Alligator mississippiensis: one gene and its partners. The protein of the gene in region 3 interacts with the protein of the main gene of each other region in a biochemical or structural test. Links are inferred from orthologs where the notes say so. Each region holds a gene or a part of one and is shown on either strand. Other genes may lie near its edges.

Region 1 (8,090 bases), on a different chromosome or scaffold from region 3:
CCAAGGCTTTGTTGAGCTGGGCCTTAAAAACCCCTGAGGATGCAGATTCCACCACCTCTTGGGTAACCTTTTCCAGTGCTTTACTACCCCGCTAGTAAGCAAGTTTATCCTAATATCTGACCTAAACTTCCCTTGCTGCAGTTTGAAGGGGCCTCATATCACAGTATCAGACCTGCAGAGCAACAAAAGACCCAGCTTTGAGAACAAGCATGGAGCGCTGAAGGCTTTTGCCCTCGGCACCTGGAAGGATAAGCAATGCCCCAGTGCTGGCTGAAGCTCTCCCTCCTGGCTGTTGAGATGCATGCTATGAGTCTTGCCAGCCTGCGGCATCTAATGGTGTCTCGTGGCACCACATCCCGATTCCCCACCCTGCTGGGGGTCCCCCCTTGGAGCACTCATTAACCTTTGATCTGCACTTCTCAGTCCCTCTTTTCCCATTTGCTGCACCTTTCTTCAATCGGCATGTATCCAAAGTTGTCATGTATCCAATGGCAACTTGTATCCAATGGCCTCCCTAATTGAGGGAGGCTAATATTTTTCTAAGGGGAAAAATCACAGCCCCCTTCTCAACCAGCCCAAGTTGGCGCCTTGCTTATGTACGTGACACGAGACAGGGACCCTGCTCTGGATTAGATGGGTGCTGGTCCAGAGCTTTGTGCCTGAGTGGAGTCACGGCAGCGTGGATGGGAGCAGGGTCCTACCCAGGGGTCCAAAGGCATTGCATGTTTGCACCCTCTAGCTGGTTTGTGGTGGGTGAGATGTTGACTCCTCTCTCCGGGAGGCATAACCCTTGCTCCCAGGCCTCGACTCTCCATGTTTTCCCACCCTTCTGATGCTTTGCCCCCACCCCTCTGCCTTGGCTTCCAGATTCCAGTTTTACTGATGGGATGCAGTACACCCGTTTGCTGCCTGCCCAATTGATCAAATGCCAAGTGCTCTCTGAATGCTGCATCTGGGGGTAAAACCCACAGGGAGTCAGTTGGGCTCTGGGTCTCTCCTCTCCTATGGGCAGCTGAAGGATGCCCTGCCTGCTCCCTGGAGACATCAGATGGATCACTTTCACTTAATTACCATCAGATAAACAGCCAAGTGGCAGCAGCTGGGGGATGTTGCTGTGCTTTTGAAATGCAGCCAAGGGAAAAAACAGGTTTGGGGCACTGCTAGCTGCAAAGGGAATGGTACTGCGAGGCTGCTGGGGATGGGCTCGGGAGCAGCAGAGGTGGGGGACTCCGGAGCCTGGGCTTTGCTGGCTCAAAGGGTTTGCACTGGCCCGCCTGCACAGGAGGCTAACGCTCCAGGGCAGCCAGGCTCCAAGCCACTGCGCCCCTGCTGCAGCACACACTGGGGCCTGGGGGTAAAGCGCAGGCAGGCTGTCACATCGGAGCCTGCAGTCTTCTCCTGGAGGCCCCACAGAGCACCCAACTAGCCAGCAGGCTCCCAGCAGCAACAGAAGTCTGGCTGAAGCTACGTGGCACACGTATGTACATATACACACACCTCGGACCCCCTGGGTATGAGATGTGCACTGGCACCCATACAGATGCCTGCAGTCCCTTTCATGGGTGCACACTAAACAATGCCTGTGCAACCATGCAGGGATGATCCCTCACGTGTTTGCACATGGATACTGTTGCACATACCTAGGGCGGTGGGGCTGCAGAGCACCTTGCCTGTCTCTGACTGCAGGGGTTTATTAGCCTGCAAGCTGGCCAGCTGCCTCGGGATGGCTCTGCACCCTCGTGTGCTCCAGCCTTTCAGGGAGAGATGAGGCTGACACAGTCTTTGTCAAGAACCTTTCAGGGGAAGCTCTTTGTCCTCCTGCCTCCCCCTCTCTGAACCTAAACACCATGCGCCTGCTTTTGTTTTCTAAACTCTGCCTTGGGACTGAAAAGGCACCCTTTGGGGGGCTGCAGATCTTTAACCAGGCAACTTTGGCCAGACAAAAACAGCCCTATTGTTTCATTCTTCCCAGTCTTTTATGGTGCTCCATTTTGGGAGCCAGCTTCTCCCAGCCAGGGTGCTGGGGACTTCGAAGAGCAGCACAGGGCTGGTCAACAGAGGCTGAGGGTGTAAATCTTTACAGGCTGCACAATCTCCCTTGGCGTCTTGCCGAGCACAGAGCCCACTGTCAGTGTAAGAATAATGATTGTTCAGTAATTAATTGACTGCTCACCATTAGTTAGTTAAATTTATAATGAGTGCTAGGCACTGTACATGCACGTCATAAAAGGATGCCCCCCTTCTTATGGTGTATGCAATCCATGCAATGGATTTCTGCACTTGCTTACCTGGCAGCCAGCTGGAAGAAGTGAAGAGAAGCCCTGGGCAACCTGCTGTGGGGAACAAGGATGGAGTCCCTGTCTACAGCCCATCCCCAGCAGCAAGCCAGTGTGGCTGGAGGGTTCCTGCCCAGCTTTATTGGTTCCTGAGCCATACACCAGTGCACCATAGGCATAGTACAGACAGCTTGCAATGCCCCATCAGGACTTGCCCCTGGGGCAGGGGTGGTTAGGTCTCCTTGGCATGTTTGCTCCACATCCCAGCAAGGGGCCTGGCACTGACTAGTACTGACTGGGTACCCAGGGCACCAGATGGTAACAACACCCAGCAGCTATGGGTCTGAAGCACTGGTGTATGGCACGGGGTTGCCAGCACGGGAGCAGGATGATGGGCAAAACCCATCCGCCTCCCAGGAGCTAGGATTCTTTCCCTCACTTCTGCAGGCTACAAATGCTTTAATCAGAGCCCCCAAATACCAGACCACTTCCATCAGGCTTCTGCCTTGTTAATCCAGCCAGGCAGGAAGCCATCTCTCAAGTAACAATAGGGGCAAAGGGGTGAGCCCTGCTCTCCTTATCACAGGGAGGTGCTGAGGTCCAAATTCTAGCAAAGCCATTTCAGGGCCCACATTATGCCTGGGACAAAAGCTCAGCAGGGTCCTGGGGACCTGCTGCAGAGACAGCAGTGAAAAGCAAGCAAGAAGCCCTTGTCCCCGAGTATCACGCTCCCTTGGCGTCCTTGCCCCCCTGCTGTGCTCCATGGGCAGCTCATGTCCCATGCTGCTGTCCAGGTCTTCACACTAGGGATGGGTCACCCTGCCTCCAGAGGCTGAGCTCTTTGACTGTGGGCATGGAGCCCTTCAGAAAACCCCAGCCTCTGTGACCCATCTGGCTAGGAGGGCACTTTGACACCGGTGCCATGCTGCAATGTGTGGGGCATTTTGCTCCCGGTGATCTGGGGAGCGAGGAAGGATGCTCGCTCTAATTTCATTCTGAAACTGGCAGTTGTGTTGTGCAAACTGACTTGTGAGAGGCTCTGGGTGTCCATCTTCTCCCTCACCCCACTGTCACGGCACGGGGGTCTGTGTTTTGGAAACCCTTCCCCTGTGACGGTGGTGACCTGCTCTGCATGGAGACAGTCCTGGGTGGTGCAGTTCCCTCCCTTCACTCCCTGCATCCACGGGTATTTATCAATCAAGCCCAGCAATAAAAAAAAGCCCATGCAATAACAGGCTTGGGCATCCATAGTTGAGCAGCTGCCCAAGCCGGGGACGGACTGCTCTGGTTCTAGAGATGGATGCCCAGTACTTGCTTCAAATCTGGTCACGGTGATTGACAGGGCTAATTCTGTCTGTCCTGGTCCATATTATCATGTAATCATTTGCACATTGCCTGGTACACATCTTCCTCTGCCTGCCAGGAGTTATCTTCAGTCTCACTCAGGCCTGCCTGGCTGCCCATTTTCCTGAGTCAGAACTGAACCTCCCTGTGCAGTCAGCACTAGCCCGGGCACCCCCGGCCTGGGGGAAGCTCCCTCCCTCTCAACCCTGCCCTGCCTGGGGGACGGCAGCCTGAGGATGCTGAAGCTGAGCAGAGTTGGGGGAGGGCCGTGGCATAGCAGCATGTGCAGCATGTTTCCCCCGCACGCAGCGTGTGGAAGGCAGGGTGCTGCCCACAAGCAGAGGGTTTCTTTGCACTGTGTTTCTCCAGAAGCCCCTGATGGAGCGGTGCATACCTCCAGGATCTAGTCAGCTCTGCACCAAGCCCTCAGGATGCAGCGGCCCCGCTCCAAAGCCAGGAGTAGGAGACCTGTGAGAGCTGCAGTCCATCCAGGGACAGCGGTGCTGACCAGGCCTGCTCTTCCGGCACGCTGCACATCTGCTGAGCAGTGATTTTTATCAGTGTGTGTGTGCCCGCATGTTCACAAGCAGGTGTGCCTGCATGTTCACAAGCAGGGTGTGTGTGTGTGTGTCCACAAGCAGGGGATATATGTGTGTCCCCACAAGCAGGTGTGCCCGCATGTGCACAAGCAGGGGGTGCGTGTCCGTGTCCCCACAAGCAGGTGTGCCCACATGTCCACACCGGGGTGGGGGGGGAGGGTTGCCACAAGCAGGTGTGCCTGCATGTCCACAAGCAGGGTGTGTGTATGTGTGTCCACAAGCAGGGTGTGTGTGTGCCCACAAGCAGGGGTGCCCACATGTCCACAAGCAGGGTATGTGTGTATGTGTGTGTCCAAAAGCAGGGGTGCCCACATGTCCACAAGCGGGGGGGATGTGCGTGTGTCCACAAGCAGGGGGTGCGTGTCCCCACAAGTAGGTGTGCCTGCATGTCCACAAGCAGGGTGTGTGTGTCCACAAGCAGGGGTGCCCGCATGCCCACAAGCAGGGTGTGTGTGTGTATCCCCAAAAGCAGGGGTGCCCACAAGTCCACAAGCAGGAGGTGCATGTCTGTGTCCCCACAAGCAGGTGTGCCCGCAGGGTGTGTGTGTGTGTGTGTGTGTGTGTGTCCACGAGCAGGGGTGCGTGTGTGTCCCCCCGCAGGTGTGCGAGCGGGTCGGTGCGGGGACTACAAGGCCCACGAGGCCGAGCCGGGCGGGCTGGCGGCGCGGGGGCGGCGGTGGGAGCGGGGCCGGGCGGGCCGGGCCGGGCCGGGCCGGGAGGGGCGCGGAGCCGGGAAGGCGGAGCCGGGAGGAGCGAGCGGGAGGCGGCGGAGGCAGCGCCGGGACTCGGGCACCGGCAGCGGCCGCGCATCGCCCAGCTCCCGCAGCACCTCCCGGCCCGGCCCGGCCCGGCCGCACCGCCCCCCGCATGGAGCCGGGGCTGTGACCGCGCGGCCGGGGGGCTGCGCCTCTGCCCTGCCTGCCGGGGCCGGATCGCGCCGGGACAGGGCCGGCCCGCACGGTGAGTAGCGGCGGCGCCGCGGGAAACTTTGCGCCAACTCGGAGCCCGCGGCGCCTTTGTGCGAGTGCGAGCGGGCGGCCACGTGCGCCGAGCCGCCGGATCGGGGCCGCGGGCTCCGGGCCGGCCCCGTCCGAGGTGCTGCTCCCCGGCCGCGCGGAGGCGGCTTGGCCCGGGTCGGGCTGGCAGAGGGAGCCGCGCTCCCGGCCCCGCTTTGTTCCCCACACCCGGCCTCGCTCGCTCCTGCTCTTGGGTGAGCAGATCCCTGCCTTGGGGCCCGTGCGGAGGTGCTCCCCCGCGGGCTGGTGAAGGGGCCTGCGGGTACCCGGCTGGGCGCGAGGTGCTTGGGGGGATCTGTCTGCTGTCAGAGGCACTTGGTTCCTTTCCGGGAACACGGGTGTCAGGCGGCGGGGAGGGGACGCGCCTGGGTTTGGGGGCCGTTCTCCTGCCCTCTCCACCTGGGCCACATCTGCATGGCATCCTCAAAAGAGCAAAACTGCTGGGAGCCCTTCCTGCCGGCACTTGGACCCAGCAAGAGACGTAGTGCGTGCCAGCAGCAGGATTTTTGCGCTGGTGAAGATGAACCGGTGCAAAGTGAGCTTTGGACTCTGAGCGCGGCGTGCGACCGCGGAGTAGCTGTGATGGTACCGGATTCCCGGCCTGGCCTGCGGAGACCGAGCCCAGCCGCCTCTGCGGCAAGGGCCTGGTGTGTTGGGCAGTTCTGAAAATCACTGTTGGGTGCCAAGTGGCCTTCTCAGGATTTTGTCACAGGTGTTAAGAGAACCAGGGTGTTTTTCTTCAAGTCCCAGGGCTCGGAGTCCTGGGATTATACTGGCTCCTCATTTTGTTTGTTTAAAGTACACTTCTGGCCCTTACATGGCAGAGGGAGGTAGCAAACACAAGCCCTACAGGCTCAAAAATCAGCAGCAAATAGGAACCTGATGTTTACCTCTCTTTAAAACAGTGTGATTTGGAGAGGGAGCTGACTTGCGCTTCTTGACTTCTCTCTTTACAACCAACTGGGACTGTTCCCTTCCCAAATGGCCCACCGCCAGATGGTGAGGGTCTGTCATTCCCTATTCAGAGCCGTTTGCAGTTTTCGTTGGAGAATCCCTCTTGTTCGGGAGTGGTGAATGCTCGCTCCGGGCTGGCAAGCCGTTCCCTTGGCTGGACGTGGTATAGGGATCTAACCCACCCAGTGCATCAGTCAGCTGCTATTTTCAGAGGCGAGATTTGCAATTCTCCTGTGCTGGTTCGTTGTGTGAACCACCCCAGTGGGGATGAGGAACCACTGTACCTCTTCCAACCAAACCTTGAGTCACGTAGTTGCTTTTAACCTATTCAGTTCCTGCTGTTAGCGATTGAGGGTGCCTGTTATTGCTCCTGTGCCGTGTTTGGAGGCGGTGAATAACTAACTGATGTGCTGTGAATGGACAGGGGGCAGGGGCAGCTGTTCTGGTTGAACATACCATTTCCTTTTGGTGAACGTTTGAACTTTAAGACGTGCTTTACCCCCGCCTTGGCTGATACAGTGTGTATGCTGCGAAGGGTTTCATTTCCCAGCGTCCCCAACATGGGGGAAGCCAAATTCGCTCTCAGACTTGAACAAACCTCGCTGCTCCAGCTCCCCTCAGCTCCCACCAAGGCAGTGTGCAAACAGAGGTGTGTGTGTGTGTGTGCTTGTGTGCAGGAGACGGGGTCCTGCCAAGTCTTGAGAGATCAGTGGAGAGGGCCCTTGCTTTTTGCTGGGGCTGACAGCCATTTTTCCCCACACAGAAGCACTTCCCCTCTTAATCTCCGGGGTGGCTGGCACGCACCGGTGCCTTTCCATTGTCTTGCTCGGAGAGGATTAAAATAAATCAAGACAGTCCCTGCCCTGGAACGGTCAAGGAAGCAGCAAGGCTCTCCTCCGGCTCCAGGCTAGCAGCCGTTTTCCTCGGGACCCACAAATCTGTCAGCATTGAACGCTGGCTGCCTGGTGACTTCCATTCCACTTTACCGGGAGGCGCGCGGGCTGGAAGGGAAGCCCGAGCTGCTTCCAGGATCTCAGGCAGGCAACTTTATTGTTCCCCCTAGCTGTGTGCTGAGTTGAAAAACGGGAACTCCAACTCGCTTTGCCTGCCGTGCTGGCCTGTTGCATTCGCAACGCACGTGCTGGCTGCTCTGGCGCCTCCAGCCCCCCTGGAAATGGCCGTTTGGTTTTGATCAGCTCACAGATGCACTAGTCCTTGGCAGCTGAGCTTCCTCCACCACAGCCAGGCCTCAGAGGTCTTTGCCCTCTCTTTGGTGCATGTTTGTCCCCGTCGCCGGTCAGCCACGCTTGCTGAAATGACGCGTGCCTGTCCTCTCCCCTTCTCTCGCACCTCTCAGCTCAGTGCAGGAAAAGCCAGCGAGTTCTTATCCAGCCGCCAAATAGGATTATGCCCATTTTGGGGACGTTACAGCCCATAGCTTCATCTCATCTCAGCTGGCGGTAGAACTGGGATCCGGGGCCCTCTGGGCACGATGAGGGGGCAGGACTGATCCTGTCCTCCCCCCTGTTCAGTAGGCTGCCCTCTGTTTGGAATAAATGCACACCTCGGGGGGACTTGTTAAGTGTTAGTGGCCTCCAGGACTGTGACCCTTTCCACACTTTCACATCCCTCCCCAGGCAGGGAAGGCTGTCAGCTATCAGATGTGGTGCACAGAGCAAGCTCCGGACGTCGAGAGGCCACTTAAGTGAGAGCTTTTAATTTCCTTCTCCAGAATACACAGCTTTCAATCTTCTCCAGGTCACTGAAGCTGCCGAGTCCTTGGGCCGCTCCTCCAGGCACAACACATCATGTTGCCTGGAAGGGTTAAATGGCTGCGCGTTGTGCGCTTGGATATTTATTTTTCCAAGTGTGGGTCTGCTTTGCACATTACTGTGTTTTTC
Region 2 (7,080 bases), on a different chromosome or scaffold from region 3:
TGCTTTTTACCATTCAATTTAAAGATTGAAAAGTAAAATGTGCTTTTACTTGGCTCCAAATGTTTATATTCTTTATACAGTTTCTTTTGCACAATCTTTTCCTCAACAGTGCCCTGCGCATTCAAACCTCGCCCCTTGCCCACAACCGACTGGACAACGGGACACTGTGACAAGCCAACCAAAAAGTTTTGCTAGGCATATTTCAGATCCTCTTCATTTGAGTGGCTTTCCACATGTGCATGTTCTACCAAAAATCAATCTGGTTTTATAGCCTTCGGGGCTGTTTCAGTAACACTGTGCACATCAAAAGTGCGCGTGTGTGAAATCTCTTTTCTTACAGAGGGAAAACTCTGAACTGCTGCAACTGACAGAGAAACACTTACAAATATGCTGTGCATTAGTGGAACAGAAGCACTTAGATCAGGTCAAATCCTGCTCACGCATATGGGAACGTTGGCACCAGCTTCAGTGGGATCAGAAACGTGCCATTACTTTGAAGAGCCAATATGGTAAAAATAGAACGCGTATGTAGACTTTCCACAGAAAATTTGGAAATTTTGGTTACGTCCCTGGGAGATGCATCGCCCTAGGACCATTCTTTTTAACCACTTCTCTCCTAGAAAAACCCTGAAAGACTTGGGTGTACACTATTTGTTGTATTTCAAATGTCATCTCAACAATTTCAGCACTCATTCTGCCTTACAGGACGGAGCAACACTGCTTCATTATAATACTGCTGTGGCCCCCAAATTTATAATCTGCAGATGCTCAACTCCAGGGGGCTTCCAACGAAGCTAGTGGAGACTTTCCAGATTTATCCTGGGGTTACGAAGAGCAGAATTTTGCGCATAAAAGCCAACCCTGTATATTTTTGGCCTAAAATAGGAAGAAAAATGCTGCCACTGAAATTCAGCAACCCCCTTGCTCAGCTTACTAGCGCACGCTTTTCTTGTTTCCTTTGCAAACCCCAAACTCATCTGCTTTGACAAAGTAGCTGTGATGCTGCACTATAAATCAATTCTTTTGGCTGTGAAAAATGAGCCAAACAAGTTACACTAAGAATCTGGTGTTTTATTAGTACTTTCTCAAAAACAAAACCAACCCCACGTGTGATTTATGGCCGTAACCAAAAGCGGGGGGGGGGGGGGGGGGTAGACAGAGTGCCCCCACCCCTAGCCTCCACGAAGCACATTTTTTTCCCCTGTCACTTTTTTGGCAAACATGCCTCAACCCTTTCCTGAACAATGGGAACTTTTTGTTTGGTGCAAGGAACCTTAAAAAAGAGTGAAGCAGGAGAGGCGACCTTCCATTAAAGAGCTTTGAAAAAATAAACAGACTCAGGTAGCAGCTGAGGCATATCAGAGAGACACCAACTTTAAACAGTCTCTCTGTTTTTAAACCAGTTTTTGTCATGTACCTTATCTTTCCTTACTCATGATAGAAACATTTTCATTCAAGGCAGGAGAAGTTAGTAGATTCCCATAAATATTTCCTCCCTTTCAACACGTTCGCAATCCAGTACATCCTCTTCAAAACCTCCTCTTAAAAAAATTGGGATAAAACAAGGGGTATCATAGTTCTAAGAAGCATCCATACACACACAAATGCTTGCCTCTCATTCAGTCTGGATTTCAAATGTGTGTCTGCAATCTGGATAAGCAAATCTCTCTGCTGTTGCAAACTCCACGTACAAGCTGTGCCATGAACCAAATCTGTTGATACATGTTGTATGTATGTGACTGCAGAGATGTAACAAAAAGTCCTCTAAGAAAGTGAGCTCAATTCTAAATCTATTCTCACTGGGTCATTCTAGCCCGGATAAGCGGGAAAAAAAAACAACTGCAGGACAAACTCTACCAAATAAACAAACGTCCTCCCGAGTCCAGAACAGAGCAATCTCAAGCACAGGGCTGCACTGTGGATCTAACTCGTATTTGAAGCTAAAGTTTCAGTTCTGACTTCGGAGTCTAAATGATCAACAGAACACTTTACCCCTTGCTTGTGGTCCGAAAGGTGCTTACATTTATGACTAACCTGGGATTTACTGTGTGCTGCGCTCCATCCATACAGATGAGCACTGGTTTATACGATCTGCCCTCCCATCACCCTACCAAGAACCGGCATACGTTCCCCTTTATCTTTGGCTGGCCTTTATCGCGCCGCGCGCTTGAGCAGCAATCCAGAGGTGCCGGCTGTCAAGTGAAAGTCTTGGAAACCTCTGGGAATGCAAAGAATCTACAATGCACGGCTCCAAAATGATACCTCTTATTAGACCGGCTGAGAGATTACAAAACATACATATATATATATATATATATATATATATATATTTTTGGAACCAAGATTTCTACATTTTTGCCTTTCTTTTCGTCTCAGAAAACCACCTACATCCCGGAACATTTCAAGTGGACAGTGGGCTTTGCCTCCCGAAAGCGGCGCAGGCGCCGGGCTTTGCTGCCCGAGTGCATGGGGGAGATGTGCGAGGTCCCTTGCAGCCCCAGCGAGGAAAGCGTCACCCTTCCCAGTTGGAGGGGTGGGGGGCGGGGGGGGAAGCAAGCTCGCCGGGGCGCCCAGCACCTGCCAAGCGCAGCCTGAGGGTGCAGGAGAGATCTGGCCCCGCACCGCCCCGAGCATCCTCCCTCTTACCCGTGGGCTTGCGGGTGCTCCTGTCCTCCGGGTCCGAGCCGGGCAGCGTGGCCGCCGGGCGGCTGCCGACGGTCCCCACCAGGTACACACAGAAGAAGGCGCCCCACGCAGCAATCATTCCTGTGGCCGCGCTCCCGGGACGCGGACTGGTCGCGGCGCTGCCCCCGCCAGCCTCAGACATCGCGGGGCCGCATGCTGGCCGCCCTGCCCGGGCTCCCGATCACGCTGCAGGCTCTGCACGGGCGACACGCGCGCGGCCCGTCAGCGGGCGCAGCACCCCCGGGCCCGCGGGCACCAGCAGGTGCAGCCCAGCCCCGGCCCGGCCCGGCCCGCCCCACAGCCCCGCACCGCCGCCTACCTGCCCCGCGCATGCAGGAGCCGCCGCCGCCGCCGCCACTGCTCGCTCCGCAGCCGCCGCGCTTGTGAGCCCGGCCGCCCGCAGCCCCACTGCCTGCCCCGGACCCCGCCCCGCGCTCCGCCCGGCCCCGGGGGAGGGTCCGTGCTGCCGCCCCGCCTGCCCCGCGGGCATCCCGGCCCGGCCCGGCCCGGCCCGGCTCCCTCGCTCCCTCCCTGCCCGCAGCGCACCTGGCTGCGCTCCCGCCCCTCCACCGGGGTCCGGCGTCCCCGCAGCGCCCACAGTCATGTGGGGCCGGCGAGCAGCGCCTCCCCGCTGTCCTTGCACCACAGCCGCCCTTTCAAGGCGTAGTTAAGATGATGGGGGGGCTCTGAACTAGAGACACGCGGGCTCCGCGGCAAGTTTTAGAGTCAGGAGGAGATCTGGGGGGAAATCTCCAAATGGGGACCTTTGCGTGCGACTGACACACGAATAGACACACCTCGTGATGTGGTTTAGGGACTCGGCGGGTCGTAATGCGTCGAGGCTTAATTTTGAGGGTCTGTAAGCAAGGCGGATATTTGTGGCAACATTTTTGGGACCCCTAAGGTGTGGGGCCCTGGTTTGCCCACCCCGAAGGCTGCTGGTAGCTGGGGGCGTTCGTGGGGCTGGGACTGCGGACCAAAGAAGGTATGGGTAGTCTTGAGAGCTGCCCCTGACACCGGTCAGGGACGGGGGTCCCCCGGTAGCCAGATTTGGGGTCAGGAAAGTATTTTACTCTGTGGTGGGATGGGTAGGGACTGTGGGGGTTTTGCCTAACTAGGGGGTGGGGGTGGCCCTCCACCCAGGACCTCTGCAGCCTGTGTTGACAGTGTTTCATAGGGGCAGGACGCTGGGTGTCAGGTCTGTGCTCTGTCAGGGTTGATGGTCCTCTTGTTCAGAGTTTAGATTATGGACTGCACGGGATGGTTTGGATAGGGCTGATCCTGCCTCAGGTGGAGGTTGGACTAGATCAGTGGTTCTCAGCCTTTTTTGTACCGGGACCCATGTGTAAATGCTGTGTGGGGCCAGGGGTCCCCAAGCAGCCCCTTGCAAGCTGGACCTCTGTCAGCCTGTGAGGGAAAACTCACAAGTTTCCCGTGTTTTTCCTCTTTAAAGGAAGATCCATTTTTAAAGTTTGTTTGTAAACCTTTCATATATTCTTGCAACCCACTTTTGGGTCGTGACCCATGGTTTGAGAAATGCTGGACTAGACCCCCTGGAGGTCCCTTCTAGGCCTACTTCTATGATTCTTTGATTTCTCCCCTCTGATCCCTTCTCAGCACCTTGCCACCGGTGTCCCAAAAGGAGACATCCATCCAGGGATTATAACAATCAGTAGCAAAGGGATTGAATTTGATGATCCTTGGTTCCTAACAATCTAAAGCGAATATTACGGCACGTGGCCACTTTGAGAGTCCCTTCCAAATGAAAGATGATGCTCCAGGTTTAAACGCGCCTCAGGTTCTTATAGGTGGGGTGGAAGGAGAGCTGAGAAGAGGAAAGAAAAGTTCTGGATGGATCTCCTCAAAATGACGACAAACATCCTTTGCAATCCTGTAATGCAACGTAATGTAATGCGATGTAACACACTAGCGGGGTTTGATGATTCATTAGGTAGTATTTCCACAGCAGGCTGGGTAGCTGCGTCTGTGGAAGTGCTAGTTTTCATCGTCGTCATTAAACAGGGACGATCCGTATTTTATCCATCACTGGATTTTCATGTACATCATTGCTAGAAATGTATGTACAGCTTACATCACACATTGTCCCTGAAGATTTCTAGCCCTGTGGTGCCTAAACAGCGGGTGGCATTATCTAAAATGTTTCATTATATTTTTAATGGGACGAGGGCAAATTGACAAAAGTGTTATTTCAGATTGCATTAAAGCAGTCCAGTAAACAGAAGCACAGACTCCAAGAAACCAGTTTTAAGAGACTCTATACTATAGAGCCGGGTTCTTTAGCATATTTCCCTTCCTCTGAACAACGTGAGGTTTTTCTGTCCAGCTTCTTCACCATGTGTGGAGATTAAAATTCATTAAAAATTTTACAGCTATCTCATCATCATCTAAGGCAATGCAACATACCTACAGATACAGCCAAGCTGACTCATTGACATGCACCATTTGCCATTAAGAGGTGATTCAAATTGTATCATACTGAGAATAAGTCATACTTCTGTCTTAATCCTCTTGACAAAGTAATTCACTGAAGGAGGGAGATGCAAATATTAGCACATCAGCCGAGAAATCCCTTTATCAGGGCAGCAATAAAGCGCTCTTGTGCTGGAGTAGTTCACCTCAGCCTGTGCGGATACAGGACATTGTCAGAATTATAAAAACCGAACGTGAGTGTTACAGCACGCGGCAGCTTTGAGAGTCCCTTCCAAATTAATGATGATGTGCCAGGTTTAGATCTCAGTGTAACTCTAGAGTGGCTCCTGGTTTCACTGGAATTACTCTGAGTTTGCACTGTTGTAACCGAGATGGGAATCTGTCTTGAAACCTTCATCAGTCACACAGACAGTGACATCTCAATATCGTGTCAGAGAGCATTGAGATGGGCCTGTGGCAAGGAAATCTGAGCGGAGACTCTTGAGTGACACAATCACTTCAAGTGAAAACAATGGGGGGAAAATCAGACGCATAACTAAGATGTGGTTAATCTACAGGCTCAACAATTGGTAAGATGAAAGACAGTTACTTTCACAGCGCTTGTGTCAGAGGTGGCAGAAAATCAATAATAATAAAGCAATTATAAGAATAAAAATAGCGCGTGGAGCAAATTTGGAGGTCGTTATCATTTTGAAGACATCCAGGCTCCTGTTTTTTGAAAACGTGATCTCATATTATTGTATTGCCAGTGCAAAGAAAATCAGAAGTTTACCCAGCATTAATTAATGAACCCTCACACTTCCTCTTTAATTATTATCATCCTTGTTCTATGAGGCAATGGAGACTGAGAAATTAAATGCCTTTCCTAAGCCACAAAGTGAGTCTAGAAGAAGCAGTAACGTTTCTCTTGCCTCTAGGTCTGTGCTCAGGATGCTAGGACGTGCTATCACATCAGGTGATGCCAAGTGCTTCCTCAACTTGGTGAAAATATGAGTGAATTTCAGGATTACCTCTTATGATTCCTAAGAGATGTAACAACCTAGAAATCAAATCATGTAAACACAACCCTTTAATGGGTCTGAACTGTTTTTCATTTGGAGCTTATAACATTTGGAAGAGCTTATGATACTTGGAAGCCCTTTACAAGAGGAAATTAAAGTGGGATTGAGATGGTTCTGTAAGAACTTCAAGGTTTGTAGCTTTCCCTAGAGTGGAATAGTTTAAGTTTTCCCTTTTATCAACTCCTGGCCCAGTGCATTCACATTGAACTGTGGAATACAGATCTGCTTAAATGCTGATTTCTGGAAGCTGGATCCCCACTGGTGGTAATTGTAATAGCTCCCAAGATATCATGTGCAGCAAAAACTCAGATTCTGGATTGTGTCTCAGCCATGCTCCCACTATAAAATCCATTTATGTGGGACTGTAAACACTACACAACACTGTTTGAGTTGATTTTTATGGTCATTATGCCATAAGGTACATACGAACCAGGTTAAGTACAGCTTTCACCTTAATTTTTTGGTACATTTGTCAGTGAAAAAAATCATACTGCAGGAGTGGCTGGCATTGCTAATTCTTTGTTTACTTTTTACCACTGAAGAGACTGCGTTTTCAGACTTCTCGTTAGGCTTATTGGTGACCTTGAATATCCCCAGCTGCATGGAAAAGCAATTCTCTTCCAGATGCTCTAGAACAATAGATGCCCTTTTTCCTTGTGAATATTTGATACGAGCGTACCTTGCTGTATTCTCAACATCGGATTCTGTTCACATTATGTTCGAACGACATATATGCTGCACTCTGTTCTGAAAGAGACTGTCCGTCTGCTCTCTAGAGAGAGCAACTTGTTCAAAACCCTAAGACAAGTTAGTGTCAAAGCACCAAGAAATTAACTCTAAGAATGACTGTCTCATCCAGTTAGCTCTCAGCTTTCCCCCCACT
Region 3 (7,654 bases):
GTGCCTAAGGCGCCGGAGCAGCGCGCGGCCTCCTGCCCGCCCCGGCCGGAGCGGCCCCGAGGCCGGGCAGATACGAATACCACCTATAAACCTTCCTCCCCCCGGTCGCTGGAAAGCCCAGCTGCAATTTATTGCATGTCCCTCCGTATTTTATTAGACGTTTTATTGCCTTTATCTCGGGTCGTGCAAGACACCGGAGGGAACTCCAGCTGCACTTTTTTTTTTTTTTTTTTTGGCTGGGTTGTTTTGCCGCCAGCTTTGCAAGGGGGCCAGCGGGGGGAGTCGGGCCAGGGCTCTGGGAGCTGCGGCGGGGCCAGAAAGGTGGGTGGGTGCGACGGGCAGGAGCGGCTCTAGAGCAGGACCCTGGCATTTCCCAGGGGCAACAGGACGGGCTGGGCCTCTGCAAGAGTGGATCCTGCCCCCTCCGTGCCGGAGCCCTTTGGAGATCGTCAGTCCCCGGCGGGTGTTATCTAAGCAGCCCCACCTCGCACTACCGCGCAGCTTAGATCCTGTTCGACATCTGGTAGTCAAGCATGCGGGGGGGGGGGGCGGATCACCCCAGGACTTTGTTTTAACGACCTAGTTTGAGTGCTGTCAGGTGGGTTCACTCACAAGTTAACTCCTTCCGAGAGCCTGGCCGGCTGGCTAGCTCCAGGGGGCGCGATCCCCCCCACACACGCACACCCCCCTCCTGAAACACGGAGTTTGTCCGTGCAGAGTGGCTCGGGGCTGTGTATTCGCCCAGCCTTCAGCCTTGCCCTGGCAGAAGGGCTGCTCCAGGCCCATCTGCCGGGGGCGCTCGGGCTCTTGGTCGTGGCTGAAGCCGCAAGCCCTCCAGCCTCCCTCCAGCCCTCGATGCTGAGTCACAAATAGCGCCCGCTGGAAATGAAATCTGCGGAATGCTCTTTAAAATTAGCTCCGGGCTTCACGCGCGCATAGCTCCGGAAAGCCACATTTTGCGGCATGCCGCTGCCTCCCTCCCGGCGGCCCCGCGCCGGCTCTGCCCTGGATACCTGCCCGCGGCCCCGCGCCTACCTTCCGGGCCGGCGGAGCAGCCTCTCGTGCCGGCGGCTGCTCGGGCAGGTGCTGCAGGGGGAGAAAGAAGGAGCAGCCTGCCTTCGCGTGCGTACAAGGCGGTAGCCACTCCCTGGAGGAAACTCGGTGGATTTGCAATGGTCGTGGTTAATGATTAACACCCCCCCCCCACCCTTTAAAGTCGCGAAATCAGCCCATTCAGTAGAAACGTCCTGAACACAAAGCCTTCCCATCTTCTTCTCCCTGAGCCGCAACTTGAGGACACGGGAGGCTGCTACTAAAAATACCGAGACTTCGCTAAGTGCTCTTGCTTTGCTGCAGTTGTGCCACTCGTCCAGCAGCAACCCCGGACCCCAGCCATCGTCGCCACCACCACCAGCAGCAGCATCCAAATCCAGCCTCCTCCCCCCTTAGTTCTAGCACATTTCATCACATGGCCGCTAAAGGGTTAAGGATAATACCTACCAAATCTGCTGTGGTCTTGCCTCGTTCCCTGGATAGTACCATTGGGGAAGATTTCTAAATGAAATCCAGTCCTGCAGTAGAGCTGCCTCCGCCTGAGGATCCCCTTTAAATGGTCCAAGTCAGTGACTGCAGGCCCCCTGGGTAGCCCACCTGCCTCGGACTGACCCAGGTGGTCACTTAACAAAACCGGACTATCCACCGGCAAAACAGGCACATTCCCAAAGGCTACTGCATCCTGCACACCGAAATAGTTCCCAACTTCACCTAAGGGAGCCATCAGAAGATTCTGCTTTTAGAGAATAAGAGCAAACAATAATGATGGTGCCAAACCCAGGAGATACAAGATTAGGTATATCCACTCCACTCCCCTCCCTACTGCGGTTACAGAGAAAATGTTCTTTCTTCAATCCATTAAATGCATAAATAAAAGTAATATTCTGGCTGGAGTGGCACAGGTTCAAGGTCAAACCAGTTAGTCTAAGAAACCACCACTTTCTACTCACACACTGACATATGTATAAACATCTATATGTGTATCTCGCTATATGTATAGATAGATCCCCAGCTCTTAGCAAGCAGTAAGGTCTTCAGCCCATCCAACTGTAATAAGGAAAAAAATCCGTAGTTTCTCCATTTGGTTTAAGACAAGAATGACCATAGCAACTTAAATACCTAGGCGTTATAGGGATTTTTTTTAAGATGCACAGGCTACGTCAGGATTTATGGATTCTGACTCCAGAAAGGCATGCGCTGTTTTTACTCTATAACAGACTGCATACATCAGCATGAATCCTGCAAAGGGGGGTGGGGGATCTCACGTTGTTGGCTGAGATAAATCCAAAAAAAAAAAAAAAAAAAAACTTTTGACGTCCAAATCTATTATCCAGAATCCTCAGGAGGCTCCGCAGATGTCCATTGGTTTAGGATTATTGGCGATCCACAAGCAAAGCAGAACCGTACAAGTGCTTGTGTCTGTCTTGGCTGGCTCGAAACAGGTGTTGCTTCTGCAGGGCTCGCTGTGCAATGTTGTACTCCAGCACTGAGCTGCAGCTCTTGACTGTGGGTCTCCATCCAGCACGCAGAGTGGCGCAGGAAGAGGCATTGGGCTGGGTTTAAGGTAGTCCTGATTGCTGCCGGGAGGATTCTCCGCGGTCCTAGCGCCCAGCTCTACCTGCTGCAATACCGCTCCCCTTCCAGCTCTGCCCTCCTTCGAGCGGCTCTAGCTGCTCTGCGGCAATCGCGCCTGCAAAGGAAGAAAGCGGCGGCCAGAAACTTTGTGGTGGGCAGGAGCCGGGCGCTCCCTGGACAAAGCGGCGCTGCCGCGGGAGGCAGCAGCTCCCGGCAGATGCCTGCAGTAGCCCAAGTCCACCGTGACATTGAGGAAACCCCCCCTCGCTCCGCTGCTTAGCCGGGGCTGGGCTCCGCCACTCCCGGGCTGCATCCCATCGGCCGCGGAGTGCGAAGCCTGGTCCCCCGGGCCAGGTGCTGCGTGCGGCCAAAGCCGCGGCTTGTGCCGCTGCCCCTTGTGCCCATCGCTGCAGTTTCAGTGCATGCTGGATGTGCCGCAGATCCCCCCGCCCCAATTCCCCTCCCTGGTGCATTCACCACGGCTGGACTTCGCAGCACCGCGGAGGCGCCCCTCGGGGCCGCGCGGGGGAGAGCTCCAGCTCAACCCGGCCGCGCTCCCCAGCCCAGCCCAGTCCTTCCTGCTTCGCTTCCCTGCCATGCGGGGCTCCCCCCTCCCAGAGCCGGGCTTTCCCCCTGCAAAGCGCCGCACACCCACGGCAAGGCTGGGCCCTGTGCCCCCCTCCCACGACGTCACGGCGCTGCGGGCCAAGGGGGGCGCAGAAGGTTCCCTGCAGCAAGGCTTGGGTGTGCTCACGTGGAGGGGAAAGACAATTCCGTGAGCCCGCTGGAAGGGGAGGAGGGCCAGCGCCTGGGGAGCAGGCTGCTTGGGAGGGATGTAAGAGCGCGGGGGATACTTCTCCAACGTGGCAGGGCACAAGGCTGTGCAGGCTGGAGATCCTGCCTGGAGAAGAGCTTTGCAACACGGACTTGCTGGTTCTTTTAGCTTAGGGGAAGCACCACAAACTGGAGTGACCTTTCCCACTTTCTCCAGGTATAGCAGCCCTGTCTTTTACCCGAGGGATCCCATCCTTCCTCTGCCCCTACCCCCTCCAGTGTGGGCAGCCACTTCAGAGGGAGGGACCAGGATTATCATTATCTCCTATTTTTGTGATCATGGTTGTAACTTGAGTATGTCATACTAGCTATTTTTATGAAACTAATTATCACACCCTGTTCCACTGACACATATGGGGCCTGTTATGCATGTATTAACTTTACTGTGGTGGTTACTGTTTGTATTATGACAGGATCCAGAGGCCCCTGCCAGTAGCTGTGTTGGCAAGTGCTTGATGCTGTACAAACAGAAAGAGATACAGTTACTGCCCCAAGGTGTCTACTTAGTAGGATTTAATTGTTCAGTGGTAGACAAGAAAAAGGTAAGACAGCCTCTTCTAGCTTTATAAATAAAAATTGTGGTATTCTTCAGGAAGGGCCTAAAGCACTGTTATCACAACTGTGTACATTGCTGACATGCCCAGTGGTGATAACTGTGAAAACCTGTAGAAATATTTGAAAAAAATGCAGAACTCCCTGTGTCATACATTTATTGTTGTCAGGGTTCACAGCTTTATTATAGTAGGTAATGTAGGCACCTGGGATAAAAGAGATGGTGTCTGCCCTGAAGATTTTATATTTCTAGCATATGATGAAAAACAACAGGTGTATGCTTCAAAGAAGGGAGGATAAGGAGAGAAGGCACAGACATGAATAGCATAAGAAACAGCAGGCCTACCTAACATCAAGCATTTTGTGACAGAGGCAAGTTTTAGAGAGAGCCAAAGAAGAACAAAGTAGTGGCTTATGGATATTAATGGAAACTCTTTTCATACCTAATGGGTTACATGGGAGAGAACCCAAAAACCCTTGCTAGAAAATTACTTTAGCAGTTAAGACTTGCACCATTGGCAAAGAAGTGGTAATATAACAAAGTGATGGTACAGATTAATATGTGTTGATCTACCACATATTAGAAATTAGAATTAGAAACAAGTGGAAAGGGTATTCCCAACTCCTCCCCAGTGATATAAAGAATACATTTCTAACCCTGCAGGATGATGAGAAATTGGATTTTAAATCTGTCACCAGTCCAAGTTTGAATACCATCCAGCCTGTGTTTCAAACCAATATTATATGGGAAGTACATTTTATTTTGGAGGGTAAAGAGATATTTTTGCTAGTTATTTTTTTTAAAGGCACTTAAAAAGATGCATATGCCAACATATACACATATTATGGGATATAGAAGATTTTGTGGTATAAAGGTTTTCTCTAACTTGAGGCTTTGATGTCTGAGTTATTTCATAAGGATTAAAGCCACACATGAATTATGCAGGTCTTCCCCAAAATTACATTAATCTGTGAGTAGGCAGTGCTCCATATGCTGTATAAAGTCAAATTTACCCCTCCACAAAAGTTTGGTTTCATTGATATCTCAAGCAATATTAAAAGTCTGCACTTTTATTCCAAAGATATTCATTCAGGAACATCTCTACCACTGGTCCCCTTCAACAAGAGATTCCCGCCCACCTCCCTATAGCCTGGCAGAGTTAAAAGACTGCATCTGCCACAATGAGTCATCAGAAGTTACTCAGCAGCTTTATGCAGGATTTTAGCTCCCACTGACAGAGTGGGTCAAAAAAAGCCCTGCATCCCTATGCAGGGTCATAAATCTTGGCACTGTTACATCATTGTGTATTCTTCCCACATGTACCACATCAATATGGTATTTGTGTGATAGGGTGAATGTATAATGTAACTTTTACCCAGGATGGAGAATACTCTATCCTGGACCAACCACATGATATATCTAAAATCCTGTGCCTCACAACCTTGTAGAGGTAGAAATGGATTTTCTGTACCATAAAAAATATAAGATCCAGAGTTTTCCAGTAAGATACATAATGTTTGTGTGTAGTCATAGAAATTCTTGAGTTATCAGACCTTAAATCGCTACATTTTCATATAGGGAAAAGCCTATTTAGTATGGAGTGCACCAGAGAAAAAGCTAAATCTATGTCTTGCTCCCTTAATCTGTAGGAAAATCTGCTCGTATCTGAACAAATTAATGCTTCAGACAATGTTAACTCTCGTTCTGTGTCTAAACCCCTATAACTGAAAAAGGCTGTTTAACTAGATGTGGATATAAGATCCATTGTGAGTTTCTTTCACTAAATGATTGCCTGCAAACACAGGGGATTGGTTTTGATGGCCCAAGAGTCCCTTTCCAATCTTACATTCCTATGTTCCTTGCCTTCACGGTGCCATGAAGAGGAGACCTGTCAACACTATGAAGGAATCAGATCTCTGTGGGGCTGTTACTTCCTTTTTTCCAGGTCCCGCAGATGTTGGAAGTTACAACATGTGCCTCTATAGGCTCCGAAATAACCCACTGTGTGAACTTAAGGAGGTTTTCCATACTATCCTGCAGATTTCATTGTAGGAAGACAAAGCTTTATTATTGCTGATCTAGCACTATGCAACATTTGCAATGGGAGGACTTTGCTGCATATATAACCAACCTGTCCATGCCTTGAAGGGTTTACTTTCACTAGGGAGATATGATACAGGATAAAATGAACAGAATAATACACAAATGAAAAACCTTGCTTGCAAAGGCAAGCATAGCTCTGAAATGTAGGCACTATTTCAGGCTTCATCACAAGAATTCTGACTTCGAAGGTACTTTGAAATAAGCTGTACGTATGAACAAACTGTGTTGCTGTGTTGCAGCATTTCCCTCCAAAGAGGCAGGGGCAGGGAGGGCAGTCAACTATTAATAGCACCAATGAAACCTGCAAAGAAGAAATGGCTGGGCAAATACTATTTCAATTTAGTAGTTGAAGACTGCTTACACCCCTGGCTACAAAATTCTAGATTACCAGAAAAAAATCAGTAATATACCTCTAAAATGATTTGGCCATGGACTTCAAGTCGCCCTACCCTATAAAATAAATGCTTATAAGTCTGAAGAAGATTGACGTACCAGAATACAGTTCATTTCCCATTTCAGAACTACATAAGAATACATCTAAAATCAGATACTGCTAAAAGACTAGAATCTTGGAGTATTTCAACAACCCTCATGGCACCAAGACATTGGCTGCTGTTGTCCCCTTTCTTCACCTACAGCAGGTTAAGATGTTATGTCTTGTGGTTCTGTCAGGGTTGATTGTAGTTTTGCCAATAGGTTTAACAATGGGTTTGTATAGAATGGTTTGGATAGGGATGATTCTGCCTCAGGCAGAAAGTTGGACTACATGACCTCTGGAAGTCCCTTCCTGCCCTCTTTCTCTATGATCCTAAAGAAGGAAATATGGAAAAGTGAAACACACAAGAACTATATTTTGCCTGTGCTGAGTAATTGACATATATAAAACTTTTCAAGCTAGAGGATTATAAAATGCACTGTGAATTTTACACATGGGATTCCAAGTAAAAGCTGTTAACAGGTAGAACTAGAAGATCAAACTAGAAAAGAGAAGGGCAGCAAGGATGGTCAAGGTATGGCAAGGCTTCCATGTAAGGAGAGACTTAATAGGCTGGGGCTTTTCACTTTAAGGAAAAGAAGACTGATGGGGATATGTGAACGGTCGATAAAATAATGAATGTGCCATCTCTCACGATACTAGAAGTACAGGACATGCAAGGAAATTATTAGGAAGCATGCTTAAAACTAACAAAAAGACATTCTCTCTCACACAGCATGTATTTAACTTGTGAAACTCATTGCTACAAGATGTAGAAGATGACAATTTAACCAGGTTCCAAAGAGAAATTCATGCAGGATAGGTCCATCGATGGGTATTAAACACAATAGTAGGCCTTTAATTGCTGGAAGCAATAAGAGAAGAACAGCAGGGGATAACTAAGTCAAGAAAGACCCTAAATAAATATTCTTACCTTTAGCATCTATTCTGTGCCACTGTGCAGTTGAGAATACTGAGCTCATTGGACTCGTGGTATGACCCAGTATGGCATGTCTTACATTCTTATGTAGTATCACAGTTACCCTTTGATTCACAGTTAC

What was found.
Region 1: the proteins of FGF9 (region 3) and FGFR1 interact in a biophysical measurement, tested with the Homo sapiens proteins (2 studies listed by BioGRID and IntAct, with this or other methods). The link is inferred for Alligator mississippiensis from reciprocal best matches to the Homo sapiens genes FGF9 and FGFR1.
Region 2: the proteins of FGF9 (region 3) and FGFR3 form a complex in vitro, tested with the Homo sapiens proteins (3 studies listed by BioGRID and IntAct, with this or other methods). The link is inferred for Alligator mississippiensis from reciprocal best matches to the Homo sapiens genes FGF9 and FGFR3.

Annotation. Positions count from the first base shown.
Region 1 is NC_081830.1:18,131,444-18,139,533, forward strand, and holds the start of FGFR1 (fibroblast growth factor receptor 1), read left to right. Parts: upstream 1-4,999; 5' UTR 5,000-5,179; intron 5,180-8,090. UniProt on the Homo sapiens protein: Tyrosine-protein kinase that acts as a cell-surface receptor for fibroblast growth factors and plays an essential role in the regulation of embryonic development, cell proliferation, differentiation and migration.
Region 2 is NC_081825.1:18,442,017-18,449,096, reverse strand, and holds the start of FGFR3 (fibroblast growth factor receptor 3), read right to left. Parts: upstream 3,092-7,080; 5' UTR 3,005-3,091; intron 2,881-3,004; 5' UTR 2,828-2,880; coding exon 2,647-2,827; intron 1-2,646.
Region 3 is NC_081824.1:432,939,150-432,946,803, forward strand, and holds the start of FGF9 (fibroblast growth factor 9), read right to left. Parts: upstream 3,062-7,654; 5' UTR 1,778-3,061; coding exon 1,501-1,777; intron 1-1,500.